3 linked regions of the Sus scrofa genome follow. The protein of the gene in region 3 interacts with the protein of the main gene of each other region in a biochemical or structural test. Links are inferred from orthologs where the notes say so. Each region holds a gene or a part of one and is shown on either strand. Other genes may lie near its edges. The genes, in order: GRK2, GRK6 and ADRB2.

Region 1 (10,265 bases), about 140 Mb from region 3:
GGATGCTTTCAGCCCACAGGATGCAGGGTGAGCAGGAGTCTGCTTTACTGGAAAGGAAGGGAAGGAAGGGCATTCCAGGCAAACGGAATTGTAAAGTCAACACCCCAGAGGTGGACGTGAACTTGGCTTGTTGTAGTGACAGAAGGAAGACCAGAGCGACTGGAGATCAAAGGGCCCAGGGCAGGGTGGGTGGGGTTGAGTTAGACAGATGGGCAGCAGCCAGAGAGCAGGTTTCACAGGCCACAGAAAGGGGTGGGTTTTCTCCCAAGGGCAGGGCAGTCACTGGAGGTGGGGTTAGATTCAGGCCTGTAAAAACTCTGGCTAGAGGAGAGGCAGGGAGCCCTGGGAGGAAGCTGGTGCAGGCATCAGCACCAGGTTGGAGGGGATGGGCTTTAGCAGGACACAGTGGAAGGGTCTGGGGTGCCCTTTGGAGACAGACATGCCAGGTAGTTGACAGGACAGGCTGGAGGACAGCGTGTGTTTGTGTGAGATGGGGGCAGGGGAGGGGGGAGGGGAATCGAGGCTGACTCCTGGGCTTTGGAAGATGACAGAGCCACGACTGAGATAGGGAGGCGGGGGAGGAGCAGGCTGAATAGGGCCTGGGTGGTGGGAGCAAGAGCTGAGTGTGGGATGTGTTAAGTTTGCAACACCATTAGTCATCTGGGGAAGATGCTGGGCGATTGTGTGTCTGCAGGCCTTCCAGCTGGACAGAGATGGGGTTCCACTCCTCTTTCAGTCCCAGCATCCCAGCCAGAGGCTGGCACAGTCTGGGCACCAGACGAAGATTGGTTGAGAATGGCTGAAGAAGCCAGCCTGGAAAAAGCAAGTTTACAATCGACCTTCCCTCAGCCACCAGAGGGCAGCACCACCCAAAAAAACAGCCTCCCCTCTTCCCAGCCCAGGGCTTCTAGGAGCTGCTTTCCTGGGTCCCAGGAATCAACCAGTGGCGCCTTGCAGACTGGCTCTCTGGAAGAATCCCTGCTTCAGGCCTGCCTGGGTTTCCGGTTGGGCAGTGGATGGGAAGGGCCTTCTGGGTTTGCAGGTGGTGCGGGGAGGTGGAGCCACTTCCCGGAGCAGGATGCCTAGCTTTTCAGAATTCACAGGGACTCTGGTCATTGGACAGAATTTTTAAAACAGGAGCTGCTCCAAAAACTCCAGGCCAGTGTGTAGCTGGAGTCAGGGTCCTGACGAGCTGGGGAGGGGTGGGAGCCGGGAAGATAGAGGCCTCCTTTTGCATCTTCCTGTGCTTCTGGCCACTTTCTCTCCCAAACTCCATGCCTCACCTTGAGTTGAGACTCTCACTCCCTCAGTCACTCATTCACTCATCAAACGTGGACTACACCACCTTTCTGTACCAGGTCCCGTGGTGGGCACCAGGGACAAGCGGTGACCTGAGAGCATCAATTAACACTGAGAGAAGGCCATTTTTTTTTTTTCTTAAGATACATTTGCATTTCTAACATCAAGATGCATTTTTCCAATTGATGCAAACATTTAATAAAGCTTCACACACACACATCCCACCCCATCAAAAACCTGAAATGATGCATCTTGCAATTGACGATATTTCCTTTTTTTTTTTTCTTTTCAGGGCCAAACCCTCAGCATATGGCAGTTCCCAGGCTAGGGGTCTAATCGCAGCTACAGCTGCCAGCCTACGCCACAGCTCACGGCAATGTCGGATCTTTAATCCAACTGAGCGAGGCCAGGAACCTCGAACCTGCAACCTCATGGTTCCTAGTCAGAGTTGTTTCCGCTGGGCCACCACAGGGACTCCCTGATGATATTTTCAAATCCAGGAAATAGGCATGAGTGCAGAACAAGAGAGGTGCCCAGCTGGGGGCAGGGGAATGGGGAAGGCCACCTAAAGGAGGTGGCTCTTAAAGAAGAAGCAGGTGTTCGCCAGGGAGGAGGGAAAAGCAAAGGCAAAGAGGTAACAACAGATGGGTGGGCTGGTGGGGGTCCCAGGGCATAGAGGGTGGTGGCAGCACAAGCCTGAGAGAGGAGCAGGACCCAGTCATCCAAGACCTTGACTTGCAGGTTAAGGAACTTGTTCACCTGATCTGCTTTGGGCAGAATGGGGTGGGGCCTGAAGGCCCTTCTGATTCCCCACCCTCAGCAGCCCAAGAAGGCCTGGAGCCCTGCTTCTCAGTCAGACCTAGATTTGGGAGAAGCATCTCTGGTCAGGGCCTGCATTAGCGCAGCAGCCACAGGGATCCTCAGAAGCAGACAGGTTTTTGGGTTTTTTTAAATAATTTTTATTTTTATTAAAGTATTGTCATTTACAATGTTGTCTTAATTTCTGCTGTATAGCAAATTTATTCATATATATATATATATATATATATATATATATATATAATAAAGATATTCTTTTCCATTATGGGTTTTTTTGGGTTTTTTTGGTCTTTTTAGGGCTCCACCCGTGGCATGTGGAGGTTCCCAGCCTAGGGGTCGAATTGGAACTAAACCTGCCGGCCTACACCACAGCAATGCTGGATCCCAGCCACATCTGCGACCTACACCGCAGCTCATGGCAATGCCGGATCCTTAAGCCACTGAACAAGGCCAGGGAACGAAACTGCATCCTCATGAATGCTAGTCAGATTCATTTCCGCTGTGCCACGGTGGGAACTCCCTGTTCTATTATTTTAATGGCCACACTCACAGCATATGAATGTTCCTGGCCAGAGACTGAATCCAAGCAGCAGCTTTGAGCCACAGCTACAACAACACCAGATCCTTTAACCCACTGTGCCAAGCCAGGGATCAAACCTGCACCTCTGCAGTGACCCAAGCTGCTGCGGTGGGATTCTTAGCCCATTGTGCCACAGTGGGAGCTCCTCTGTTATGGTTTATCATAGGACACTGAATTATAGTTCTCTGTGCTATACAGTAAAATTTTGTTTGTTGCTTATCCCCTCCATGTATTATAGCTTACCTTTTTTTCTTGTTATCTTTTTTTTTGGTCACAGCGGGCAGTGGCTTGATGTGGGATCTCAGTTCCCAGATCAGGGATCGAATCCGGGCTGCAGGGGTGAAAGCACCAAGTCCAAACCACTGGACCACCAGGGAACTCCCCAGAAGCAGATGGGTTTAAGAAGAGCCTCAGGAGGCCAGATAGGAGGGTGTGGTGACAGATCAGGGTTGGAGGAGGGAGAGGGTCAAGGATGATGTCTGCAGTTCTAGCTTGGGCATCTGGGTGGATGGTGGTGCCCCCACTGAGAAGGGGACCTCGCCATCTTCAAGTGATCTTGCCATCTTCCAGGCTCTGCCAAGGCTGATTTCAGAAGGTAGGCTGAGAAGTGCACAGAGTCTCCTGCTTTGCAAAAGGGTACTGGTTGTTGGCCCACAAACTGGCGTGAAGCTTGGGCCCCAAGTACCTAGGACGGGGAGGGGATCTTGTCACCTTGGAAAGCAGAGAGAGGCTCTAGAGTGGCATGTTGTGATAGCGGGTGCTGCTTGGAGACACATGGGTTCCTGTCCCCATGGGCTCTCAGCAGAGTAAGTGCCCCTGGCCAGGCAGCACTGTGACCCCCCATGCCCTCCCAGGTCCTGGGGGTAGTGGGGCAAGGGGGGCGATGCAGGGTCCTTGGTCCTGAGTGGGAGTCCTGGGGCCAGGATTGGGTCTGGAGCAGGAGGAGTGAGGATTGGGACTCATGGAGGTCTGGAGTCTGACTGCATTTTTCAGCTCCCAGGTCCATGGCAACCTGTTCAATGTTCTAGGTCCAGTCTCAGTCCCAGTTGGATGTCCTGGTCCTGGGTCCATGTTCAGAGTTTTTTGGGGTTTTTTTGTCTTTTCGCCATTTCTTGGGCCGCTCCTGCAGCACATGGAGGTTCCCAGGCTAGGGGTCTAATCAGAGCCGTAGCCACCACCCTATGCCACAGCTCATGGCAACGCCGGATAATTAACCCACTGAGCAAGGCCAGGGACCGAACCCGAAACCTCATGGTTCCTAGTCGGATTCGTTAACCACTGCGCCACGACGGGAACTCACCATGTTCAGAGTTTTTGATGTTGGGTCTAGAACCCTGGTCTGCAGTGAATGGCCCACATCTGGGTCTGGGCCCTGCTCTCAAGTCCAGGGTTTAGGGTCATGATAGCGGTCTGAGTCTGAGGGTGGGATCAAGGTTGGGGTCAGCAACCAAGGTGGGATGGAGGTCGTGGTCCGTGGGTGGCATCAAGTGTTTGAGGTCATGGTCCACAATCTGGGTCTGGGGTCAGTGGTAGGGTCTGGATGTGAAGGGCGGGGGGGTGGGCTCAGAGTGTTGATCCCAGGCCATGGTCAGAGTCTGAGGTGGTGGTCCAAGGTCTAGGTCTGAGGTCCTGTTCGGAGTCTGGGGTCAGGAATGTTATCCGGGTCTGCGGTGCGATTTCCGACTGTGTCCAAGGTCAGGGGTCAGGGGTTACAGCCAGGCTCTGAGACCCAAGTCCCTGGGATTACGTTCTGAAACGCCAGTCTGCGGTCCCGGCCATGGCCTCTTGTGGAGTCTGGGATCCGAGCTGCGGTCCAGGTCTGGGTCTGGGGGCTTCTTCGGGCCAGGTCCCTGCCGTGTTCCACGTCCGGGGTCAGGGTCTCGGCTGAAGGTTGGGGTCCGAGATCCGAGGCCACGGGGCGGAGCTGAGACGGGGTCCGGGTGGCCCCGGGGGTCAGTCTCAGGCCACCCGCGCGGCCTCCAGGGGGCGCCGCCGCCCGGCCGCCCGGCCCCTCGCGGGCTCGCTGGCGCTGTGCGCGGCAGGCGGGGCCGGAGGCGGCGGCGGCTCCGGGGCGCGGGTGGCGGCGGCGGCGGCGGCGGCGGTGGCGGTGGCGGCGGCGGCGGCGGCGGCGGCCCGACTGCAGTCCCGGCGGGAGCGGAGCGAGCCGGGGCCGGGCCCGAGCCGGCGCCATGGGGCGGCGCCGCCTGTGAGCCGCGGCGAGCGGAGCCGCGGGCGCCCAGCGGGGCCAGGCGGGCGGCGGCGCCCGAGGCCGACGGAGCGGCCGGGCCGGGCCGAGCGCGCCGAGCGGAGCGGAGCGGAGCCGAGCGGCGGGAGAGGCCGCCGCCGCCGCCAAGATGGCGGACCTGGAGGCGGTGCTGGCCGACGTGAGCTACCTGATGGCCATGGAGAAGAGCAAGGCCACGCCGGCCGCGCGCGCCAGCAAGAAGATCCTGCTGCCCGAGCCCAGGTGAGGCGGGCGCCGGCCCCGCGCCCCGCGGCCCCAGACCCCCGGGCACTGGCCCCGGGACCCCTTCTGCCCCCGGCGCCCCGGGCCTGTGCACCTGAACCCGGCGCGCCCCAGCGCCGGGCTTGCCAGCTCCCCTGGCTCCCCGACCCGCCCGGTGCCCCCTGCCCCACTGTGCCTCCCTCTCCCGTCACACACTCTGCCTGGCCCCGGTCTCTGTCGGCCCCAGGGGCTCCCTGCTCCCCTTCATTCTCCTCGGGTAGCCCTGGGTCCCCTCCCCTGCCTGCCCCATCTGCCTGGCCGGACTCTTCCTCCCTTCGTTCCGCTGCCCCTGCTCCCAGCACCCGCCCCCCGGGTGCCACTGCCCCCACCCTGGCCCCCTCGGGTGGACACTTGCCTGAGGTTTGGGGGATACTGGGTCTTCCCCATTCTTCGGGTGGGTCGTTGGCTTGGGGTGGGGTTTGAATTCGGCTTTAGGGGCTGGGGCGGTGGTGGGGAGCAGGGTACGGTGTGCGCCCCATCCCATTAAGACACCATCTGTCCCTCTCCCCGCGAATTCGTCCTCCGGCAGGCCCTGCTTGCGGTGCCCTGTGGGTGCCATTTGCCAGGGGACGTCCCGGCACCCCTGCAGCAGCTGGACCACGGCTGCCACCTCTCTGTGAGACAACTGATGACATTGCACCTGATATCAAAGTTTAAACTGTTCAGGATTTAGGGACAGGAACAGACAGGATACAGGCAGTAGCTCAGGCTGTCCAGTGTTTTATGGCTTCTAGAGTATTTTCCCATTGTTTGAGCGTCAAGCAGCCCATGGGTGGGTAGAACCAGTGTGGAACAGGTGGGGAAGCCGAAGGCCCAGATGGGAGTAGCCTGCTCAGTGTCACAGGTAGTCCAGGGTGGTGCCTGGCTGCCAGATCAGGGCTTCCGGCTGCTGGTTCCACAATGTGGCCACCCTTCTGGCCTGAGCGGGGACCTGTTATTCTGCAACTGCAAGAGCCACGGGCCTACCACCAGTCCCAGCAACTCCTCTATCTCTGCCTGGGAGTTGCCATGCTGAGGCCCAGCCGGCCCAGCCGGCCCAGGAGCCTGGGCCCCTCTGAGCTGTCATGGTCTTATCATGTGACTTTGGGCAAGTCCCTTCCCATTTCAGGGCCTCAGTGTTCTCATCTGTGAAACGCGGTGGGTGCGAAATAAGGACTGTGACCGTGGCATCCTGAGTGTCTGAAGCAGGGCCCAAAGCTGCGGGGCCAGCATCTCCGGTCCCCTCCACTGGGCCCTGTTTGCTGGCTTTCGAATTGACTGAACACCAGGCCTGGGAGAGGAAAATCGGTCTGCATTTTGAAAAGGCCGTTAGGGCACCCCCCCCCTTTTTAAGACATTTGCAATCAGATTTCTCAAAACAGGAACCAGACTGACTGTCAGCTGGGGGCTGTCCAGGGAGCAGCGACAGTTAGAACAAAATGAGTTCAGAAATGACAAAGCCACGAGGGAGGAAATGGGGGCGTCAACCTCTGGGGTTCGCAGTGACTCTCCGTGGTGGCCGCGGGCCTCAAGACCCTCCTGTGGGTCGGACTTGTGTAAACTGTGAGGCGGGGCCTTTTCTAGAATTCTCTGCGTTTGGGTAATCTCGTCCCAGAATGCTTTGCTGCCGACGGGGCCCCGCCTTGGGTTGGCTCTGCAGGTGCTAGAACCCCGAGAACCAAGATGGTCCTTTCCCTGTCCCTTTACCCGCCATGATCGTGATGGCGGCGGTAGGCCTGATGGTGGAAATGAGAATAATTGACTTGTTTGGGACATGTGTCATCTCAGTCGAGCCAAAAACCAACCTGTGGGGTTGGCAAGGCCGTGCCTCGCGTGTAGTAGTTGCTCAAGAAATTTCAGGACTGTGTCGAGTCTGAAACCAGGTGGGCCGGGAGTTTTAGGGGAACAGCAAGAGCCGGAGAACCAGGTATTGTGAGTCCTCACGTAGGGTCACGATCTGGCGGCATGATGTTGGCTAGATGGCCCACGCCATGAGACGGACTAGTGGCCCCAGCAGTGGCCGTTCCTGCACCAAGGCCACGAGGGGCCTCCCGCCTCGGAGGAGACGCCGTCCTTTGCTTTGTGCTTTGCCCACAGGTCAGAGGCCTCCTGGGTCAGAGGCCTCCTGCCCTGGACATCATTAGGCTGTCGCGTACGTTTGCCTGGCACGTCCCAGTTTGCAGAGTGCCTTTTACTCCATTTTATCCTTTTCACAAAACTGTGGGAAGCAAGCATGGCAGGTGGTATTTTCTCATTTAATAGTTGAAGCAACTGAAGCTCAGAGACTTGGTCCCGGAGGCGAGGCAGAGATGGCACTTGGGGTCTCTGGACTCCCACGTGCTCTGCCCCTGCTGTGCCTCATTTCTTCCGCACGCCCGCTCCGTACCTCCGCCCTCACCCGGTCCTTGTTTCGCGGAATGTGCCAGTTGGCACCCCTTGCCCGGGGAGCTGTGGCTCTGTGAGGTGGCCTGGAAGCAGCAGGGCAGCCCCCAGCACCATAACTGTCTTGGGTCACAAGGCTCAGCTCCACACCTGAGGTCATGTCTTGCCCACCTGAGGTCAAGGTCGGGGAGAAAGGCCAAGGTCTGTCTGTGACAGGTGCCATTTGGAGTTTTTCCCACCTTGGGGTGGTCCGTCTTGGCAGCCTCCCTGCGGCTGGTGCCCGAGTTGTGGCTTGGCCGGGAGCTGGGGCTGGCATCGAAGTTCCGACTTCTCAGGGCTGGGGAGCAGGAGCTGTTGGGCACAGCGCCACTTTGAGTTGGCACAGGGGCCTCCCCTTCTGTCACCCTGTAGAATCCGAGGAAACAGACCCATTTCTCGCCCTTCTCGTGGAGGAGGCAGCTGGGTCGCTGGGACCCCATCTTCTAATCCTGCTGCGGTCCCAGCTCACATGGGACCTGGGCGCATCTCATCCCAGCCGAGCCTGCCTCAGTTTCCCCCTTGGTCCAAGGAGGCAGCCGCCCTTCACAGGTGACCTCTCTGGCCCCTTCTGCCCTCGGGGACTGTGGTCTGTGCCTCTCCCCCAAGGAGCTGCTGTCTCCCTTTCTCAGCAGCGGCAGCCGTCCGTAATTATCGTCATTTGCTTAATATGACCACGGAGGCCTCGTGTAATTAATCTCTGGGCTCCTGGCGGAGGAGACCGGCCGGGCGGTCCCGGGAGACGCCCCTGCCCTCCCCGGTGACAGCAGCAGCCCCAGCGGCAGATGTCAGAGCCGGTGCCTCTTGCAGCCTCCGGTCTCCGCGGCTCTTTCCTGGTCCCTCCCCCACCGTGGATTTCCTCCTCCCTGCCCTTTGCTGGCTTCCCCGCTCCCAGACCCGCCGCTCTTCCTCCTGCTTCGGCTCCGTTCCTGTTAACTCTTTGCTCCCAGGACTTCCTGCCCTGGATTTGTGGAAGGAACGGGTGCAGGGAATGGCTTTCTCCTCTCCTCCTCCCTCCACGTCTCCATCACCAGCAGAAACCCTGCTGTTCCCAGCCTTTATCCCCTACCCAGAACTTTCCACTCCAGCAGCGGCGTTCTCTCCCCTCCCAGCCCTGAAAACAAGATTATCTTTGGGGCACTCATTTCCTCGGGGCCTTTGAAGCCCCCACTCGCCCCAGGAATGGGTCTCCAGGATGTCGTTTCCCATCTGTTCTCCTTGCCAGAGCTTGGGTTTCACAATTTTGCCGTTAAGTTGCTCGGCCGCCTGCCGTTCCCTCAGTGAATGGATTCGGAGGGAGTGTGAGCATCACAGGTCGGCACCCGTGCCGGGGAGTCTGGGCTCTGACAACCCAGGAATAATGTGTCCTATTAATGCACGATCAATCCTTAGTAGTAAACTCCCGATGACGTCAGGGGCAGGCACGCCTGCAGCGGCGTTTCCTGCCCGCCCCGAGCCCCCGGGGAGGCTTTGCCCAGGGGCTGAGCTCTCGGGGGCCACTGGGTTCAGGCTGCCTGCGCCTGGCTGGCGCTCTCGGGACGTCATGCTCCTGCCTCGAAACAGACAGCAGGAGCCACGAGGACGCGAGGGTCTTTGAGGAGTTCACAGGCTCCGTCCCACCTGCCCCTTTTTCCTGTGGCCTCGAGGGGCCGGGACCCTCTGCAGGCCGGATGCGAGAGGGTGCCTTCCACTCAAGTAGTCACGGATCTGTTTCAGTCAGGAGAGGCTCAGCGTGAGGGCTCTGCAGCCTTTTCTAAGACAGAAACATGCCTGCCTTTGCCTCGTCGCCCATGAGGAGGGGAGCCTGTCGGCCCGCCGCAGAGCAGGGTTTCAGCAGGGGCTTTTCCAGTGTTAGCAGCTCTGTCTTCTGACTCTTGAGGCCGTTCTGGGGCTGGGCTTCCTGGGAGCTGCAGGGCAGCGAGCCCTGGAAGTTGGCTCCGCGTTTGTTCTAACGTGGTGGCAGCAGTGATGCGTGACAAGCTGCGAGAGTGCTTTTTCCCCGCACATTCTGCAAGCTGTCACTTTGTGGCCGCCATGCCATGGGGAATCTGGGTTGCTACGAGGTGGGCTCGTGTGGGTGGTGCCCAGTGGGTGTCATTTTATCTTCCCTGGCTCAGGGTTAGTCTTTCCCATTTGGTATGTGGCCCTGTCCTCAAGCTCTGAGGATGTTGTTGGCTCCAAGGAGAGTCATTGAGAAATGTTAATAAGATGCCCCAGAGGACTTCCTCTTACCGCTGCCACCACGGTGCCAGGTTTCCTGGAAATGCCACAAAGCAGCACCTCAGCCTCGGCTACAGCCTCCTCTCGGCGGGCTTAACCGTCGTCTCCTAGAGCTGACAGTTCCCGGTGGGGCTGCACCAGACCTGCCAGGCCTGGAGCCCCCGTGCCAGCTTGCACTGTCCTGAGCTGCTCTGTCATCCCTGTCACAAGGAGCACAGGAACCGCAGCCCCCGACCTGCCAGGTGCCGGCCAAGGCTGCCCCCAGCCTGGTGGAGGTGGGGGCCGAGGCAGCCAGGGCACGAGTCTGGGGTCCCCTGAGACCCTTCACCCAGCAATCCCACAGAGGCTGAGGGAGGCCCTTGCCTGGCAGAGGCCCATTCTCGGGGAGGGCCGGCCTGGGACTCTGAGTGAACAGCTCTGCTACTTCTGGCCTCGATTTCCTCG
Region 2 (10,141 bases), about 70 Mb from region 3:
CCGGGAATCGAACCTGTGTCCTCACTGATACTAGTCAGATTCATTTTCGATGAGCCACAATGGGAACTCCCCTTTTTTTTCTTTTTAAGGCTGCACTGGTGACATATGGAAGTTCCCAGGCGAGGGGTCGAAGTGGAGCTGCAACCTACGCCACAGCCACAGATCTGAGCTGCATCTTCAATCTACACCACAGTTTGTAGCAACACTGGATCCTTTTCCCCCTGAGCCACAGTGGGAACTCCATTAGGTGCAAGCTTTAAGAGCTACCATATGATTTATCATATTTCCTTGTATTCCTGCCATTGTAGAAGCTCAGATTGAGATGGAGTCCTGGGTCCCTGAGTGGCTACTCTGAGTGAAACTTCCCCACATTCCAACAACCTGCATTGGACACAGAGTATACCTGAGAAATAAACTCTGTTTAAGTCACTGAAATTTAGGGATTGTCTGTTAGGGCAGCATAATCTAAACTAGCCTGACCTTTTTTTTTTTTTTTTTCCTTTTAAATACATCCAGTAGAAACCTTACCCATTGTTCCATGCTTTGTTTTATTCATTTAACAATAATCTTAAAGGAATTCCTTGATGGCTCAGTAGGTTAAGGATCTGGGTTGTCACTTCTGCTGTGCAAGTTGCAGCAGCAGTGCGGGTTCGATTCCTGGTACAGGAACTTCCACATGCCTCAGGCAGAGTCAAAACAAACTAACAGACCAAAAAGCAATACATCTTGGAGATTGTTTATATTAGTTCATGAAGAGCACCCTCACACTTTGTTTATTTATTTATATTTGGCTGTGGTATGCAGTGGCTTGATGTGGGATCTCAGTTCCCAGACTAGGGATAGAACCCAGGCCACATTGGTGAAAGTGCTGAGTTCCCATTGCTGCTCAGCAGGTTAAGGACCTGAGCTGTTGTCTCTGTGAGGATGCAGTTTCAATCTCTGCTCTGGCTCAGTGGGTTAAGCATTTGGCCTTGCTGTAAGCTGCAGTGTTGGTTACAGATGTGGCTCGGATCCTGTGTTGCTATGGCTATGGCATGGGCTGCAGCTTTAGCTCCAATTCAACCCCTGCCCTGGGGAACTTCCATATGCTGCTGCTGCAGCTGTAAAAAGAAAAAAAAAAAAGTGCTGAGTCCTAACCACGAGACCACAGGGAACTCCCTAATTTTATTTATTTATCTATTTATTTATTTTTGGACCCCCACACTTTTAAAAAAACTAGGTAGGGAATTTCCTGTGTGGCGAGCACATCAGGTTAAGGATCCACCATTGCTGCATCTGTGGTGCAGGTTGTATCTGCAGCACAAGTTCAGTCCCTGGCCTGGGACCTTCCACATGCCATGGGTATGGCCAAAAAAAGAAAAAGAAAACAAGAAATAAACATTCAAAATTATATATTAACAATAAATAAATAAATAAATAAATAAAAAGCAACATAGTATTCCTATACAGGAAAGGACAAAATCTTAACTAGTCCCTATTAAGTACAATCAGTACATTTGGAATTTCTGGACCATGCTGCAATGACCAACCTTGAACATTCATTTCTTATTTTGCTTGAGTGCAATTATATTTATAGGTTAAACCCTAGAAATGCATATGCATATGTCAGATGAATAGTGAAATATTTGTCCTTTAAAAAGGATCACCTTTGGAGTTCCTGCTGTGGCCCAATGGAAATGAATCCAACTATTATCCATAAGGATGCAGATTCGATCCCAGGCCTTGCTCAGTGGGTAGGGAAACCAGTGTTGCCGTGAGCTGTGAGCTGTGGTGTAGGTGGCAGGCAGGCACCACTCGGATCCCCGGGGTGCTGTGGCTATGGCATAGGCCAGCAGCTGTAGCTCTGATTCAACCCCTAGCCTGGGAACCTCTGTATGCTGCAGGCACGGCCCTAAAAAGCAAAGAAAAATAAATAAAAAGGATCACTTTGCCCATAGACAGAGAATGGGTCTGAAGAGTCAGAACCTGAGAGTCATGTGTGATACCTTCCCTTCCTCACCCCAAATAAGTCGCCAAGTCTTATTCATCCCAGCTCCATGATAGCTCTAACCTGGCCACTGCCCCAGCATGGGGCATCATTCCTCTCTTTAATATTTCCTCTTCAAAGGACCTCCCACCTCTCTTACTCAGGACACATGGCTCCAAACAATGGAGAAAATTCTGGGTAACTTGGGCAGACAAAGAATTGATTTGATGTTCTTAGGCGCTTGCTGAATCCCCTGGCCCCAGAAAGGACCTGGCTTGACCACCTCCCCTTCTTCTTCCACTGCCACCTTAATGAACCCTAAATGGGCCTCTGATGCTTCTATGTTAATCACTTGCTTTGGATTTCAAAGACCTGCTTGCAGGCATTGAAAACATGTTCCAGCTACCAGGGACCTTGGAGAATAAGTTCTGCCTCCTCTCTGATTTCCCTAGTGGAAACCAGGGCATGCCTCTGCATTTTATAGGTTTCCTCCCAAAGGGGAGGGGTGCTTAGAAGCTGGGCACCAAAGCAATAGGTGTTTATAAGTCAGCCCAAGCCCCTCTCTCCCAACCCTTCACCCTCACTCCAGCACATCCTCCACAGTGTGGCACAGAATAAGCAAATCTGATGAAGTTAGTCCCTAGTTTAACACACCCTGGACAGCTCCTCACTACCCTCAAAATGAAGTCCAACCTCCTCCTTACCTAGCTTCCAAGGACCTTCCTCATCCAGGCCTCTTCAAGGCCTGAGCCTCATTTCTTGTCCCTCAAGTGCATTCCACCTTGCACCTGAAACTCTACTTCAGTGCTCTGACCAAATGCTTGAGCCCTTACTAACTTCCTCTACAGAATTTTGAATATGAACTTGCATCCAGTGGCTCTTTCCTGCTCCACTCATGTTACCTCTGAAACCTATACATTCTCACTCAACACTTAGATCTCACTTGGACACAGCAGGCTTCACTGGGTGAAGTACCTGCCCTTTGTCCTGCTGGCCACTGGATTTCCCTTTTTCAAGGTACTTATCTTTATTTCCCAAAGTATCCTAAATCCATGCACTTTCTCCATCTCCACTGCCACCTTCTTCCAAGCCGCCGCACTCTGTCTTCTCCCAACTGCTCCCTGTGCTTCCACTCCTGGCCCCTCTAAAAGTCCATTAGCTAGAGTGATCTTTTTAAAGTATAAATCATCCTAAGGCTCCCCATTTTATTTAGGGAAAACAACAAACTCCTCATCATTGATCTACAAAGCCTTCCAGGATCTACCTAGAATCCTTGCTCCTTCATCTCATCTCAGACTATTGGGCCTTGAAACTATACAGGCCTTCTTCCTGTTCCTTGAACATACCAAACTTACTCTAGGCTCAGGGTTTTGCACTTGCTGTTGCCTGTGCTTAAAACTGTTCCCCTAGATTTTTGCGTGGTTGAATCAATTCAAATGTCAACCTGAGATCATTTCTCCTCACTATTTTGTCTTGATGTCTTATTAGCACTTACCACTCCCTCAGACCATCCCACTTATTTGTTTATTTATAGGATTATCATCTTTATCCCTCTCCTAGAAGGTAGGCAGAGAGACTGGCTATCTTACTGGCACTACTGTATTCCCCAGCACCTGGCTCAGGGCCTGGCACAAGGTGCTGTTCTCTGTATTTTTGGATGATGAATGGATAGGGATCTGAGAAGCCTAGTTGAAGCTGGCTCTGCCTTACTAGCAAGTTTGGGCAAGCCTCCATTTCCTGGTGTGTGAAGTGAGGGTGGAGGGAGTAGGATGTTGAGTTAGAAGGTGTTGATCAGCTGTAAAATTTCGGCCTTATTTTCTCCCAACTTTTCTGCCTAGAGCCAGCCACTAGACCTCAGCTCCCCACCTGTACAATGGGTGTGAGCTCGTCCCTACGTCTTGGGGTGGTAGAGCTGCCTTATAAGGCAGCAGAGGCCGAGGGAGGGCGAGGCCCTGTGGGTGGAGAGAAATCACAACATCCGGCTGTGGGGGTAGGGCGGGGGCGCCCGCGGTGGCCCGGACGGAGGCCGAGGAGCAGCTAGGGAGGCCCCCAGCCTTCTCTGGGCCTCTCCCCGCTTCCGATGTGCGCCCTTCAAGATGGGCCGACCCAAAAGTATACGGCCGGATACACGGCCCGAACCTGCAGGAGGCCGGCCGGGAGGAGGCCCAGAACACTAAATGCATCCCCTAAAAACCCTGGAAAAGCCAAGGCGAGTCAAAGGGACCCGGGCCACACCCACAGCTAATAGCCCAATCAGAGTGCAGTGCTAAGGCTGACCGACGCTTCCTTCATCCAATCAAGTACAAGAATTCCAGGGCGTGACCCAGAGGACCCACCTCCGTTGTCCCAGCAGAGGGCTCGTCCCTAATTGGCAGTTCGGTATCCTACGAAGGCCCAGAAATTCGAACATAGAGGCTGAACCCCATCGTAGACCAACTAGGAAGATGTGACGTATTAAGTCCCGCCCCCCTGTTCCTTTGAACGAATCCCTGTCTCTGGGGGCGGGGGATGATGAAGAAGTTGTCTAATGGGAAGACGGCGCGGGGAGCACCCGCCCGGTTATTGGCCAAGTAAAGTAAACAGTGGGCGGGCCGGGGCGGGCCTGGCCGGCGCCGGGGTGGCCCCCGGGAGGGGGCGGAGAGTGAGCGGCGGGCGGCGGCGGCCGGGGAGGCCCGGGAGGCCGCGGCGCGGTCACTGCGAGCCGAGCCGAGCCGCGCCGCGCCGATCGTCATCCGGCCCCGGCTCCCTCGCGCGATCCCGGCCGGCGGCGCGGCCCGGCGGGCCCGGCGGCGCCGCAGCCCATGGAGCTCGAGAACATTGTAGCGAACACGGTGCTACTCAAGGCCCGGGAAGGTGAGGCGATCGGGTGCGGAGAACGCGGTCGCGCGGCCTCCGAGTTCCGCTGGGCGCCCTAGTCGCCCGATCCCCTAGGGCAGCTCTCTCCGCGCCCAGCATTTCGCTCAGACAGGGGCCCTTCCGGCCCATGGTCCTTCTCCGCACCTGCCCCCAGGGAGCCGGAGCCCAGGAAAGGGCGGGGGTCAGGCCGCCGCCCTCACGGCGCGCGCGCGTGCGCGCGTTTGTGTGTGTGTGTGTGTGTGTGTGTGTGTGCGTGCGTGTGTGTATGAGGGGGTGAGGGAAGGAGAGAGGAAGGAAGAGGGAAGGGTGGGACCTCAGTCCTGGAAGCCTCTCCCAGGTGAGAGAGGTAAGAAGATGCCCCAGGAAGGGGCAGCCTTCCCCACGTGCCCCGGGCCCAAACTCCGGCGCCCAGCCTGGATCGGCACAAAGTTAGTGCACGGGTAAAAGGTTTGGAGAATGAATTAACTAAGACTCTGCAGTAGCATAGCCCACCCGAGGCGGGGAAAGCTGGTCACATAGACTACCAGCAAGACGTCCTCTTGCTCAGTGCCTCAGGACACTGGGGACAGAGGGGAATGGGTCACTGTTTTTGCCTTCAGGAAGCCCAGACTAGTGGGGCAGAGGGGCACAGAAATAACTGGAAGCTGAGCTCTGAAGGAAGGGAGCATGCTGGGCTGGTGGGACTGAGTGCAAGGCCTGGCACAGGGAGCTGGCGGGGTGAACCTAGTGTTGCTGAGCTTTTCAGATGTTACCAGGCACCTGCTCTATGAGGATCCTGGGGACACAGAAGGACCAGACTGGCCCCCATTGCCTTGTGGTCAGTCTGCTCCTCACCTGCCATTGACCACCTCAGTAATGTAATCACTGAACACCTACTCTATGTCCTGTCCTATCCAGGGTGCTGGGGACCAGCAGAGAAGACACTTCTTTTCGGAACTCTAGGGCAGGGAGGTCAGGGCAGTTTTTCTACTCTTTGATGGGCTTCCAGGCTGAAAGAGCCATCTGCTTCACCTTTCTGATCTATTTTACAAGTGGGAAACCCAGGCTCGGCTCAGGGACTAGCCCCCAGGATGCAATGAGACGGGTTGACCCAGGCCTACGACATAGGATGTCCCCAGCACAGTCTGTAGGAAAACCAGAGGAACCCCCAACTGGCACAGCATCTGGTGCCCCCTGCCTGCCCATTGCAGGTTGACCCTGGGGAGGTGCTGCCTGGAAATGGGCACAGCAGGCTGGGTCCTCAGTGCCCAGAGCCTTCCTTATCTCCTGTCCTTTATCGAGTCCTGGGGCTAGGCCTTCCTCCCAGCCTCTGGGGGCATCTGCCGATTCTGTTCTGCCTCGTCATCCAGCCAGCCAGGGAGGAGGGGTGGGGAAAGCCTGGCCAGACCTCCCTCCCCAGGGCTGTAGTCAGTTCAGTCCTACTGAGAGCAGTGCTTTGCCTGGCCAGAGAGTGTGGGCACTTTCTGACAGGCCATGGGTGATGCACAGTGGGTTATGGCCAGACTGGGACCCGTGTCTTGGCTGGAATATCTGAACTGGCTCTGCCCCTCCCACCTGGGTAGCTGTAAACAAGTCTCTTCTCTCTGAACTTCAGTAACTCTTTTTGTGAAAGAGTTGGGAATGGGAACTGAAAACTAAAGGAAGCCCCGCTTGTCACTGAGTCCTGAATCCTGGTCCATAGACCAGGTGCATCAGAACCCCTTCGTGAGTTGGGTAACAGCTTGGGCCGGGCTTTTGCCAGCTTCCTAAGTGATCTGAGGCTCCGAGTGTTTTGGGATTGTATGTATTCAGAGAACACCTGAGAGATGCCTTGCACATTTGTGGTGGGAGAGGAGCTTTGGTTGTGGTCCCAGTGAGCTGGATTGGACTCCTCCAGGCTTTGGGACTTTGGACAAATCGATTCATTTGAGGGCCTGTTTTCTCATAAGATTGGGCCGGGTCTGGCGGAGTTGCTGTGAGGATGAAGTGGGGTGGCACTGGGGGTCCCCCTTCCTTTCCCAGGCTCTCAGAGAAACAGGGAGCGGACCGGGCTGGGTGGGGAGGAGCCCCCTTGACTCTGGTGGCAGTTCCAGGACAGGATATTTGCATGTGACTCTTTGCTGCTGCCTTGATGTGGCTGGGAGGAGGGAGGAGGAAGTAACTGGTGGGGGTAGCAGGCGGATGGAGGGTTGGGTGAGGGACCTGCGGGGGTGGGGGCGGAGTTCCCCTTCTGGGGAGGCCTTGCCCTGGATTGGGGGTGGGGGGTCTGTTGCTCACTTACAGTGGAGCAATGACTGGCATATGCTGGGTGTGGGCTGCAGGAGAGCCGCTAGCAGGTTTCCCAATGGGTACCCTGCAAGACTTCCTCCTCCAGACAGCTTAGGTCAGAAAGCCCATCAGGGGACACAACCTTGCCCTATCCCTAGAAGATGGCTCCTCCTCCTGCACCACGTGCCTTCGGCCAGGCCAGATGGAAACAAAGCTGGGGAAACCACAGGGGAAACTGAGGCCAGGCAAGGGAAAGGGGTGGCTTGAGGTCGCCCTTGAGTTTCAGAGCTGGGGCCCACCTCTAGCCACAGCTCTGCTGGATACTGGATAGGCTCTCGGTCACCCTCACAATACCTCTGGAGATGGCTTTGGACCTCAAGTACACATGGAGAAATTGAGGTCCCTAGAGGACAAGCGATGGGCTTGAAGTGTAAAGTGGAAGTTCAAACCCAGGTCTGTGAGATTTCAAGACTCAGGCCCCTTCCACCATTTTCAACTCCATGACCCACAGGCCACAGCTGGCTAGCTCTTTAATGTGTTGTGTTTATTTGGCTACAGTGGGTTTTAAAATACAGGAACCAATCTTTCATATAACAGCCTGGACCCCCAACTGATTTTGAAAGTCAGAAGAGCTGGCCACCCTGAGCCAGCATTCCTGCCTAGAAACAGTCAAGCAATCAGCTGCAGCTACCCCTGTTCGAAGCGCAAGCCGAGTCTGGTTCACCACACGCCCTACCCCTCCCTGTTGTCTCCCATTTACCATACCCTGGCTCTGGCTCTGTAGGCATTTGCACTGCTACCCTGGTCTCAACAGCTACAATGAGGGGTCAGCTAGGTAAAATGGGGCAGGTACCCAGGAAAGCAGGGGTAGGCATCCTGAGTGCCAGCCTTCCTGGTGCCACTTTGAGACTCTGATAGCTCTGGTGCAGGGCCTGGAATAGAGGCCTGGAGCCTCCCTGGGCCCCAAGCTGCCCTTTGCCCCTGGCATCTCTCAGGCATGATCCCATGTCCTGGAACATCTCCCTCCTGGGCCATGACTTACACAGTTCTCACCACTGTCCTGTCCTTCTCTTTCTCCACCTGGGAAAGTCCTACCGGGTAGGAAGCAGCTGAGGCTTGCCAGAGCTTCCTGGAACCCCTCCCTCCCCCAGCCACCTGGACTCCATTGCCTCTCCTGGCTCTTCCAGCCCAGGAGCCCCTAGCAGGAAGGCCCAGGGGACCATGTGCGTCCTCCAGTGGGGACATGTTGGAGCATGTGGAAGGAAGGCCTGAGGTGCCTCCCAGAGTGGGTTTGGCCTAGGTCAGGCCCTGAAGGCCTCTGGACCGCACTGAGGGTGGCCGGGAGGCCATAGCAGGACTTGAGACCCAGTGCCTGACCCAGCATCCGTTTGCTGTTTACTCCAACAGGCGGTGGCGGGAATCGCAAAGGCAAAAGCAAGAAATGGCGGCAGATGTTGCAGTTCCCCCACATCAGCCAGTGTGAAGAGCTGCGGCTCAGCCTTGGTGAGGCCTGAGTAGAGACTGGGGGGTGGGGCAGGGGGGCAGTGCCATGCAGAGGTGAGAGGATCCTGCTGGTGCCGGGGCAGCCCCCCTGGAGACTTTGCTTTGGGGTGGAGGACCGGGTTGAGGGGTTTCGGGGAGCGGAGAGACTGAGGCTGCACCACCCAACCCAGTTTCAGTTCCTGGGCTTAGGATGGGTGGAGGGCAGAGAGCACACAGGACAGCAGGGGGCGGTTGGGGTAGGTGTTGGAGGGGGTGGGACGGGGTCAGATTTGAGGCCATCTGCGGGAAGCAGCGGAAGGGAGGGCCAGGCCCGGATGAGCAGGGCTCAGAGGACGGAGGGTGTGGCGGGGGCTGGAGTCAGCCCACAGATCAACTGCCCGGGGAACCCCAGGCCTGTGCTCAGCTCCACCCAGCCCTGTCCTGGGGGTGCCCAGCAAAGCCTTGATCAGAAGGACCCAGGCCCCCTCTGACAGCCTGCACGTGGGCTGGGAGTACCATCCCCGGGTCGGAGGCCTAGCCTCGAGCTTGCCGGAAGCCACAGCTTCCTCCCACACTTTCGCCAGGCAGGCAGCAGGTGTGGGCTGGGCCCGGGCCGGGCCGGAACCTCACAGACCGCACCCAACCCCAGCACTGTGACGTATGCAAGTGGTGTGAACCAGGACACAGCGGCCGGAAGTGAGGACCCAGGCCCTGGAGCCATACTCCTGGCTGTGTGACCTTGGGCTAGTCACTTAGCCTCTGGGCCTCGGAGTCCCAAGCTGTGATGGCAATAACAGTAGTGCCACCTCAGTGCTGTGGTGAGGGCTCTAAAGGAGATAACGGTTGCCATACTGGGGGGCCGGAAGCTGTTGGTGGGGGCCCCGGGCCTGGCAGTGTGGACAGGAGCGCCCTGCCAGCAGGCTCCAGGTCCGGGAACCCAGCGGCTCCCACCTCTGCCTGCAGAGCGTGACTACCACAGCCTGTGCGAGCGGCAGCCCATTGGGCGCCTGCTGTTCCGAGAGTTCTGCGCCACGAGGCCCGAGCTGACCCGTTGCACTGCCTTCCTGGACGGGGTGGTGAGTGCAGCCCAGCCCAACATCGAGGGTGGGCAGGGGTCTCAGGCCATGTGTGCCTTGTCTCCCCACACCTGTTTCTCCACCCAAACCCCAAGCTGCTCTGCCTCCCACCCTGCAGGCTGAGTATGAAGTGACCCCAGATGAGAAGCGGAAGGCATGTGGGCGGCGGCTGATGCAGAATTTTCTGAGCCACACGGTCAGTGAGCACTGATGGAGGGATGAGGGCAGAGCTCAGCGATGGGGAGAGGAATGACCACAGTCTGGGCAGAGACTGCCCTGGAGCTGCTCCAGGCTCACTGGGCAGCTCTGTAGGCATGGAGCCCAGCAGGGTGGGCCAGGGCTCTGGGCCCCGCAGCCTGCCAGCAGCTCTGTTTCATGCTGCCTCAAGGGGAGCGGCAGGAACCAAGGTCAGCAACTGGGCAGGCTGATGCACCGCCAGCTGCAGCCACCCCTAGCAGAGGCCTGAGATCTCTGCCGTGTCTGCCCTGGGAGTGGGCAGCTGGCCGAGGGACCC
Region 3 (10,336 bases):
TTAAAGACAGACATTTGAGACCATCATTTAGGAAAAAATCTATAGGAGCTCCTCTGCTTAAAGGATGGCAAAGATGCAGGGACTCCTGAGGACTGAGGTCAACTCTTTAACCCATTTTGAGTTAGTTCCCATGTATCGTACGAGACAGTGGTCTAGTTTCACTCTTTTGTGTGTGGCTGTCCGGTTTTCTCAAAACCGCTTACTGAAGAGACTGCTCTTTCCCTACTAGGTATTCCTGCCTACCTGGTCATAAATTAACCGGCCATCTAAGCACAGGTTTATTTCCGGGTTCTCTAGCCTGTTCCATTCATCTATACGTCTGTTTTGAAAACTATAGCCTTGTAATGCAGTTTCCAAGGAGCATGGAGCAAAATCCAGATCTGTTTTTCTTCCTCAAGACTGATTTGACTACTTGGTGTTTTTTGTGGTTCCAAATAAATTTTAGGATGGTTTACTGTACGTCTGTGAAAAGCACTGATAGGGACTGCAGTGAATCTGAAGCTTGTCTTGGGTACTGTGAACATTTTGACGACATGAATTCTTCCGTGGCATAAGCCCAGGATATTTTCCATTTCTGTGTGCCTTCTTGAATTTTTCATCAATGACAGCATTTTCAGAGTACAAGTCTTTCACCTCCATAGTTAAATTTATTCCTAGGTATCTTACTCTTTTTTGACACAGTTGTAGACAGGATTTTTTTAACTTTTCCCTCTGATAGTCTGTTGTCAAGTATATAGAAATGCAACGATTTTTGTATATCATTTTGTACCCTGCTACTTAACTGAATTCATTTATTCTAACAGTTTGTTGGTGGCATCTTTAAAGTTTTCTATGTAAAATTATGTCATCCATAAATGGAGACAGTTTTACTTCTTCCTTTCTGATGTAGGTACATTTTACTTCTTTTTCTGGCCTAATTGCTCTGACAAAGACTTCCAACACCACACTGAATAAAAGTGGGGAGAGTGGACACCCCCGTCATCGTATTTCTGATCTGAGGGGAAAAGCATGGAGTATGATATTTTCTCTGAGTTTGAATACATGGTCTTGGTTACGCTGAGGGACCGTCCCTCTACCCACTTTGCATAAAACCAGAAGAAAAGAGAGGCGGTAAACTACTTGACATGGATCTTGGCAATAAAGTTTTGGATCTGAATCCAAAAGCAGAGGCAACAAAAGCAAAAATGAACAAACAGAACTACACCAAACTTACTTCTGCAAGTTAAGGAAACAATTAACAAAATGAAAGACAAGCTACTGAATGGGAGAAAATGTTTGTAAATCATTTATCTGATAGGAGGTTAATATCAAAATTCTATAAAGAATTCATAAAACTCAATAGAAAATTAAAAAATTCTGATTTTTGAAAATGAACAGATGATCTGAATAGGTATTTTTCCAAAGACATATGGATGGCCAACAGACACATGAAAAGATGCTCATTATCACTAATCATCAGGTAAATGCAAATCAAAACCACAATGAGACATTACCTTACACACAGCAGAATGGCTATCATCAGAAAGACAGAAATAACACGTGCTGGTGAGGATGTGGAGGAAAGGCAACCCTGACGCACTCTTGGAGGGGAGGTAAGTTGGTGTTACCACTGTGGAAAAGTAGGAGCGTTTAGTTCCTCAAAAAATTAAAAACAGAACTACGATATGATCCAGCTATTTCACATCTGGGTATTTATCTGCAGGAAATTAAAGCACTAATGCAAAAAGATAAATGCATCCCCATATTCACTGCAGCATTATCTATAATACCCAAGATAAGGAAGCAACCTGAGTATACATTGGTAAATACACAGATAAAGGATATATATATTATATATACTATAAATATATTTATACACATGTAAATGGACTATCACTCCACCATAAAATGGAATGAAGTCTTGCCATTTGCGACAACATGGATTAACCGTAAGGGAATTATGCTAAGTGAAACATGTCAACGAGAGACAAAGGCTGTGTGAGTCTACTTACATATGAAATCTAAAAAAAACAATAAAAACCAAAATGACAGTCACAGATACAGAGAAGCCCATGGGGTCTGCCGGAGCAGGGGGAGATGGAGAGAGGATAAAATGGGTGCAGGGTCAAGAGGCACAAGCTCCCAATTTCAAGAGAAATGAGCCGGGGAGATGCAATGTGCGTCACACTGACCCTGGTCAGTAACACCGCAGAGCTGACTCCAAAGCTGCCAAGAGAGCAAACCCTGAGAGCTAACCATGATGCGTGGTGACGAACAGTAACTAGACGTAAGATGATCATTTCACCACCTATGCACACACATACTCAATCACTACGTTGCGCACCTGAAACCCATATAATGTTCCATGTCAATTATACCTCAACATACATTTTTTTTAAAAGATGAAAGGAATCTTGTCTCAGCCAAGACTGGGATAAGATTTTCCTAAGGCATCCAGATATTCATGTGAGAGCACTCCTTCGCTCACAGACTCTTACTCCTTTTCAGACATTTGTTTGGTAAATCAAGATTTTTTTTTTTTCTGTTTGCCAGGCAGGAAAAAACAAATGGTGTCTAAAGCGATGGACAGAATATGTAATTAGAGGGAGTTCCTGTCGTGGCACAGTGGTTAATGAATCCGACTAGGAACCATGAGGTTGAGGGTTCGATCCCTGGCCTTGCTCAGTGGGTTAAGGATCCGGCATTGCCATGAGCTGTGGTGTAGGTTGCAGACGCGGCTCGGATCCCGAGTTGCTGTGGCTGTGGTGCAGGCCGGCGTCTACAGCTCCGACTCGATCCCTAGCCTGGGAACCTCCACATGCTGCAGGAGCGGCCCTAGAAAAGACCAAAAAAAAAAAAAAAAAAAGTATGTAATTAGACACTATCGATCACCATAATAGAGCCTGCTTTGTCATGTCAGATGCAGGTGTCTTTGGTCTACAAAGAACTTTCCAGTTCAACTAAAGCTGTGCCCAAAACGCTGTGCTCGTCACAGTCTTCTGCGGGGGAATGAAGACGTGATGGTGGGCAGTGAAAACATGTGAGGCCAGGAAGCGAGCTAGACTCCCTCTTCTCTGCTGCCTCCAACCAGGCACTTCTGGCTCCTGCACTTTAGTCCCTCACTTGCAAACTGGAGGAGCAGGAGGAATAAAGTAAAGGGTCTAGTAAATTCTCTGCTGCTCCAACTATCTCTAAGCCTACAACTCTAAAAGAAGGTCGGGAAAAGACTCGGTGATGCGGGGAAGACAAAGGGGAACAGAATGAGAAGGGAAGGTACTGTCCCTTTGGCGGGGCTGGTGGGGCAAAGGTCTGGAATGGTGCTGATGTAAGCCAAGCCGTCTTCCCTTCTAGAGTTAGAGTTTGTGGCTTTTTTCAAAGGTGTTTCCCAAAATATTCAAAGTTAAATTTTTAATGACTTATGTGTATGCCTAAATGATCCATGAGGTTTGTTCTAAAAGGACTCTCTTTTTTCTTTTTTGGTTATAAGAGAGTTAAACAATATGCTTATTTATTGCACAGCATCACAAATAGGACAGAAGCTTTAAATGGCTCAGTTCTACAATTCCAGAGAAGACATGTATTTAAAGAAATGTTGCATAACAAACAAGGCCTCTTCCTAAAATGCATCCTGCCAGAGCCAATTTTGGAAAACACAAATATGGGACGGGTGTATTTTGAAAATTATGTGAGCATAATAGATCCTTAATTAATATCTGTGGCTTTTATGGGAAATATTTGTGTTTTAAGGCATTTGTCATGCAAAAACAATTTCTGCTAGTGAAGGAAGTTAAACAGGGCATGTGGTTTTGCTTCTGAGTTCTGGAGTAAATGCCCAAGTCCTTTTGTCCTAAAGTACTTCAGTGTCCACTAGTGAACACTAACAACATATTCTGGACTATTCAGTAATTTATATCAATCTCATTTATAACCCTACTTGAGTGAAGTTTTTACTTGCAAAAGCACTATCTCATTTATCATTACATCATTTGGTTCTCATTTAGCTCAAAAGAAGCAACTTTATTGCACATTTAGACATAGAGGAAATTAGGCTCCAGATTTTGGATTTGCCTAAGGAATGTGAGCTAGAAAGAAACTGGAATGCAGTATTCCAATTCCAGTTGTAATCCTTCTCTACCCTCCACTCTGTTCTGCACATGGTAAAGCAGTACATTGAAAGGATTAAAAAAGAGATTTTAGAATCAGGGAGAACTGGGTTCAGCTCCTGCCTGGCATTGCCAGGCTGTGCCTGTGGGCAAGCTATTCTCCTCTTCCAGCCCCCTTTGTGAATTAAATTAAAAATAACTATCCGCCCCACCCACCCCAGCACACACACCACCAGGCGACTGTGGGAAGGATGAAATGGAATAATGCATGAAAAGCACATAGCAGAATGTTTCATAAATGTTAGCCATTGTTAAGTTATTATGTAATCTAGAAAATATGTTTGGTTACACTGAGTGAAACACTTTCAGTTCTTCAAAGACACTACTAATACATGTAAAAATCAAACCCTGAAAATTAATTTCTTTTTAACAGTGAAGTCACATGCCAGATGCAAAGGCTAATATTTCATGGAAAATGACCTCGTCTGAAGCTTGGTCTGACTTTTTTAAGAAAAAATACCTTTTCCTTTCTGTGGTTTCAAACCTTTTTTTTTTTTTTTTTTTTTTTTTTTTTTTGTCATTTTGCCATTTCTTGGGCTGCACCTGCGGCATATGGAGGTTCCCAGGTTAGGGGTCTAATCGGAGCTGTAGCTGCCAGCCTACACCAGAGCCACAGCAACGCTGGATCTGAGCCACATCTGCGACCCACACCACAGCTCATGGCAACACCGGATCGTTAACCCACTGAGCAAGGCCAGGGATGGAACCCGCGACCTCATGGTTCCTAGTCGGATTCGTTAACCACTGCGCCACGACGGGAACGCCTCAAAACATTTTTAATGTTACACATTCTTAGTAATGTGAACCATAATAAATTGCCATGTTTTAGAAGCAGAGATTATAGAATAGCAGCAATTTCATATGGCTCGGATCACCAAACTACCCAGCAGATGATTTTTCTAGTTGCCCAGGCATGAATGAAGTAGAGCTTCAAAGAAAAATTATTCTATTTTCAGTACATTTTCACTTGAACAGATAATGAAGGAGTGATGCCACACTCACTAGAATTAAAATTAAAGCATACAACTTTCTCTTTCTGTCCCCAAACACACGCATGGATAGCCCAGGTCTGAATGAAATCCCAAGCGTAAAAGCCTGTCTCAGTGCCTGCAGATTCCCAAGGAGAGCACCGAAAGTCCTTGACAGCGAGCGAGCTGAGGAAATGGGCAGCTGCTGAAGTCACCTCCTGAGGTCTCGCCAAATGTTTGAAAGGGAATATGCGAAATGTCCGCATGCTGGGGAGGAAAGGACGGAGATCCAGGGTGCCGGAGAAGGGTTTGTAGAACATGGGTGGGGACGTCCTTGGCTGTGACTCCCGGCTTGCCTCCACGTGGCCCTTAGTGTGTTGTTTACTTCTTTTCGTGTGTGCCTATGACTTTGTGGTTCTGGGTGCTGCTGGGTTTGTTCCTGACCACGTCTCTGCGTTAGTTAAGGTTGACTTTGCGCCGATTTGCTTGTGTGTGTGTGTGTGTCCGTGCGCGCACGCGCGTGTGCTTGTCGGTGTGCTGGATGGGTGTGTCTGCGTGTCGGTGGCTGTGGCTCCGTCTAAGTCCGTGCACGTCTGCCAGGTGAATTGTGCCTGTCCGTGCGTGTCCTGGCGGGCACTCTCATTCTCGTCTATTTCCGAATAGGAGGGAGTGCCTGCGCACTACCCTCTGCCCAGGGTCCTCAGGCCTCACGACAAGCCCGGGCAGGCAGGTAGCAGCCACAGAAGACTGCGCAGCTCCCAGCTCGCTGGTAAGCGGCACCCCCCAACTTCAGCTTCAGCCCTGGGGCCAGCCTGGGTAGCCTGGAGGGAGTGGCGACCGGCCGGCAGGGAGCAGCGGGGCCCCGCCCGGGCCAGCCCCAGGAGGAGGCGGGAGAGGGAGGGAAGGGGCGGGGGGGGGGGGGGGGGCCTCGCCCCTTTGGGGCTTCCCGCGCGCCATTGGTCCCAAGTTGGAGCACGTCACGGGGAGGGCAGTTCCCCTCAAGTCCTGTGCACATAACGGGCAGCGCGCACTCCGAGGCGGCTTCTCCGGAGCGCAGGCAGAGACCCGCCGGCACTGCGAGCCTCGAGCACCCCGGGAGCTGAGTGCACCACGCGCCCCCTCCACACCCACCCCACGGCCGCTGAATGAGGCTTCTAGGCGCCCGCTCGCTGCCCGCAGCCCCCCGCCGGAGGTCGGCCCGCTGAGGCGCGGCGGGTGCGCCGGCTGCCAGCGCGCTCACCTGCCCGCCTGCGCGCCATGGGGCAGCCCGGGAACCGCAGCGTCTTCTTGCTGGCGCCCAACGGAAGCCATGCGCCGGACCAGGACGTCCCACAGGAGCGGAACGAGGCATGGGTGGTGGGCATGGCCATCGTCATGTCGCTCATTGTCCTGGCCATCGTGTTTGGAAACGTGCTGGTCATCACAGCCATCGCCAAGTTCGAGCGTCTCCAGACGGTCACCAACTACTTCATCACCTCCCTGGCCTGTGCTGACTTGGTCATGGGCCTGGCGGTGGTGCCCTTTGGGGCCAGCCACATCCTCATGAAAATGTGGACTTTCGGCAGTTTCTGGTGCGAGTTTTGGATTTCCATTGACGTGCTGTGCGTCACGGCCAGCATTGAGACCCTGTGCGTGATCGCCGTGGATCGCTACCTTGCCATCACGTCCCCCTTCAAGTACCAGTGCCTGCTGACCAAGAACAAGGCCCGGGTGGTCATTCTGATGGTGTGGGTCGTGTCGGGCCTTATCTCCTTCTTACCCATTAAGATGCACTGGTACCAGGCCACCCACCGGGAAGCCTTAAACTGCTATGCAGAGGAGGCCTGCTGCGACTTCTTCACCAACCAGCCTTACGCCATCGCCTCTTCCATCGTGTCCTTCTACCTGCCCCTGGTAGTCATGGTCTTCGTCTACTCCAGGGTCTTTCAAGTAGCCAGAAGGCAGCTCCAGAAGATCGACAAGTCTGAGGGCCGCTTCCACGCCCAGAACCTCAGCCAAGCGGAGCAGGATGGGCGGAGCGGGCCGGGACATCGGAGGTCCTCCAAGTTCTGCTTGAAGGAACACAAAGCCCTCAAGACGCTAGGGATCATCATGGGGACGTTCACCCTGTGCTGGCTGCCCTTCTTCATCGTCAACATTGTGCACGGGATCCATGACAACCTCATCCCCAAGGAAGTTTACATCCTGCTAAACTGGGTGGGCTACGTCAACTCGGCGTTCAACCCCCTCATCTACTGCCGGAGTCCAGATTTCAGGATGGCCTTCCAGGAGCTTCTGTGCCTGCACAGGTCTTCCCTGAAGGCCTATGGGAACGGCTGCTCCAGCAACAGCAACGGTAGGACTGACTACACAGGGGAACAGAGTGGCTGTTACCTGGGGGAGGAGAAAGACAGCGAACGGCTGTGTGAGGAGCCCCCAGGCCCGGAAGGCTGTGCACACCGGCAAGGTACTGTGCCCGATGATAGCACTGATTCACAGGGGAGGAACTGTAGTACAAATGACTCCATGCTGTGATGCAGGTGTCTACTTTCTAAGCGCCCCTTTCCCTCCCAGCCAAACACTAAACAACTCGAGTGTGATGAATTTAGAATGAACGTCTATAGAGATGTGCAGGAGGAGGAACATCCTTCTGCCTTTTTATTTTTTATTTTTTTAAGTTGTAAAAAAGAGAAAACATTATTTGAGTGATTGTTTCTTGTACAGTTCAGTTCCTCTTTGCATGGAACTTGTGTAAGTTTATGTCTGCAGGCCTTCGGTCCCAGAGGACGTGGGGCTGGTATGTTTTGATGACTTTTCCGCATATCTACCTCATTGATCAAGTATTAGGGGTAATATATTGCTGCTGGCAATTTGTTTCTGAAGGAGACCTTCCTTCCTGCACCCTTGGACTGGAGGATCTTGAGTCTCTCGGACCTTTCAGCTGTGAACATGGACTCTCTCCACCCCTCTTATTTGCTCAAACGGGGTGTTGTAGGCAGGGATTTGAGGGGCAGCTTTGGTTGTTTTCCTGAGCAAAGTCTAAAGTTTACAGTAAATAAATTGTTTGACCATGACTTCATTGCACCTGTTTCTCCAAAACCCCTTGACTGGAGTGTGGTTCCTCCCCCACTGGAAACCGCAGGTAACTATTTATAATAAGTGCCCAGTGACTTAATGTGGAATGACACAGGAATGACATGCACTGATTGCTTAACCCTTTTGTTTGCCTTTGAATCTGCGGCTGCAAACCTGTCTCTCTCCTACTGCTGATGTCCCCCTAGCAGTCTGTCCGCTCCCAGCGTAGTTCATCTCGCTCTTCCTATGCAGTGTTCTGTGTCGTTACATCAGAAACACTGACTCATAGGAACAGAGTTATGTCCCTCTGTGTGCCCTCACCACCCACCTTTCAGTTCTGCTGGTTTCTGCTTGTTTTTATCTTTACCGTGTCTTAGGGTAGAGATCTTTGTAGTACACCAGGGCTTGGCATTTTAAGGATAAGGAAGTTCTTGTGAAAATACTCAAAGCCTGGTAACTCCAAGGGAAATAAAAAGGCCATGGGATGTAGGGGGAAAGCTGGAGAACACTTAACTGGTGAACAGCTCATGACCGAGAAACAGGGTTGAACCCTCCTTCTCTGTCCTGCTGTGCGTCCTGTCCCCCCTTCCCCGACTCTAGTCTCCAGTATAAATCCAGATTTATCAACCTCACAAGATTAACATTTTCAGCTAATAATTCTAATAATTCTCCAATGTTGAGGGCTGTCCTATACATCGCCAGGTGTCCAGCAGCATCCCTGGCCTCTTCCCACTAGACGCCAGGAACACCTCCTGAGTTGTGAAAACCAAAAATGTCTGCAGACATTTCCTAATACCCCTCCCTTAAGGAATGAAATTTCCCCTGGTTGAGAACCTCAGTTTTAAACTTCAAAAATCTAAACAGATTTTTAGATTCTGCCTAATGTAACCACTTTATTTTGCAGGGCGTCAGAGAGGGATTTTTTTCGCCATTAACCCAGACCCCAGGGCAATGTTCTTCCCCTCCTTCCAAGCCTACTCCCCTGCTGCCCAGACACGGACGGGGAGACTGAGCTGCTGGGGAGGGTTTATCCATGAAGGCAAGGCCCATGAGCCGCGACTGCCTGTTTGTGGAGAGACGATCATACTGTCAAGAGGCAGTAAGGGAAAATCACAAAAGTAAACACATTTCTTCTCCCACCCCTTTCTATTTTTGCCTGGGTGTCTGAGCCAGCGCTTGGCCCAGGTTTGACCGAGTAGATCGTCCTCCTTGGCAACGCCAGCCTGGAGAGATCAACCTGCAGGTTCACTGCCACTTCACACTCTCATGAAGCTGACTCCACTTCTTTCTTCCCTTCCCTTCCCTTCCCACCCAAGGTCTCCGACCAGAAAAGCATGTGTCTTCTCTACTTCCTCTCAGTGCAGTGATGGGGTGTCTGGATGAGTACTGAGCTCTCAGGAGAAAGTTGGGAGCCTGTTTTTCTAGAATATGCCTCCACACATTGGAGAGTGTGCCGTTCAGCACTTCTGCTTTTTCTCCAAGGGCTTTCATACCCATTATCACATGCTTCCCCTGCTCTGGGCCCTACACTCAGAGATGCAGGCAACTTCTCCAGCTAATCTTCACACTCCTCATAGGCTCAGGGGATCTCAGACTTGGAAGAGAAAGCACAGAAAGCATCTGACATCCAAAGAGAAGGGGGAAGATCAGCCCAAGGTAAGAAGCCAAGGATGTCAGAGTCAGGGCTAATGCCAGGCAACCCAGCTGTCGTGCCCAGAATTGGTGTATTCTCTCTACCACATTATCATGGGATTCTGCCCTCACTCTCAATCGCGGAAGCTTTTCCTTGGGACTGGCACATTAACCAATTCATTTCTGCAGATGTTAACATTTCTTTCAGGTCCGTAATACAAAACACAGGCAATAAACAAATAATGTGCAGTAGGGACAAGAGAATCATTCCTTTTTCTCAGCATTTAGGGAAACTGGGAGATTCCTTAACTCTTTATGACCTGCCAGAAATTTCAAGCCATTCCAGGTAGAAATTTACCATAGGCTTATTTTAAAAAAAGGTTGGAAACCTTACCATCATCATGTCTAACTCCCATGGACAATAATACATACATACTCTTTTGGTTAGAGGATTATCTAATGTAGTTTTAATTAAAAACTCAGCTATGACGTTACTTCATAAACTTCCAGCTAAAAGGGAGTTTTAGCCTAATTCATGTC

The links.
Region 1: the proteins of ADRB2 (region 3) and GRK2 form a complex in vitro, tested with the Homo sapiens proteins (2 studies listed by BioGRID, with this or other methods). The link is inferred for Sus scrofa from reciprocal best matches to the Homo sapiens genes ADRB2 and GRK2.
Region 2: the proteins of ADRB2 (region 3) and GRK6 form a complex in vitro, tested with the Homo sapiens proteins (2 studies listed by BioGRID, with this or other methods). The link is inferred for Sus scrofa from reciprocal best matches to the Homo sapiens genes ADRB2 and GRK6.

Annotation. Positions count from the first base shown.
Region 1 is NC_010444.4:5,222,232-5,232,496, reverse strand, and holds the start of GRK2 (beta-adrenergic receptor kinase 1), read left to right. Parts: upstream 1-4,989; 5' UTR 4,990-5,052; coding exon 5,053-5,165; intron 5,166-9,125; exon of another isoform or gene 9,126-10,265. UniProt on the Homo sapiens protein: Specifically phosphorylates the agonist-occupied form of the beta-adrenergic and closely related receptors, probably inducing a desensitization of them. Key regulator of LPAR1 signaling.
Region 2 is NC_010444.4:80,521,675-80,531,815, reverse strand, and holds the start of GRK6 (G protein-coupled receptor kinase 6), read left to right. Parts: upstream 1-4,607; 5' UTR 4,608-4,767; coding exon 4,768-4,819; intron 4,820-8,476; coding exon 8,477-8,572; intron 8,573-9,135; exon of another isoform or gene 9,136-9,335; coding exon of another isoform or gene 9,336-9,369; intron 9,370-9,514; coding exon 9,515-9,627; intron 9,628-9,745; coding exon 9,746-9,823; intron 9,824-10,141.
Region 3 is NC_010444.4:150,027,429-150,037,764, forward strand, and holds ADRB2 (beta-2 adrenergic receptor), read left to right. Parts: upstream 1-5,220; 5' UTR 5,221-5,879; intron 5,880-6,134; 5' UTR 6,135-6,367; coding exon 6,368-7,624; 3' UTR 7,625-8,163; downstream 8,164-10,336. UniProt on the Homo sapiens protein: Beta-adrenergic receptors mediate the catecholamine-induced activation of adenylate cyclase through the action of G proteins. The beta-2-adrenergic receptor binds epinephrine with an approximately 30-fold greater affinity than it does norepinephrine.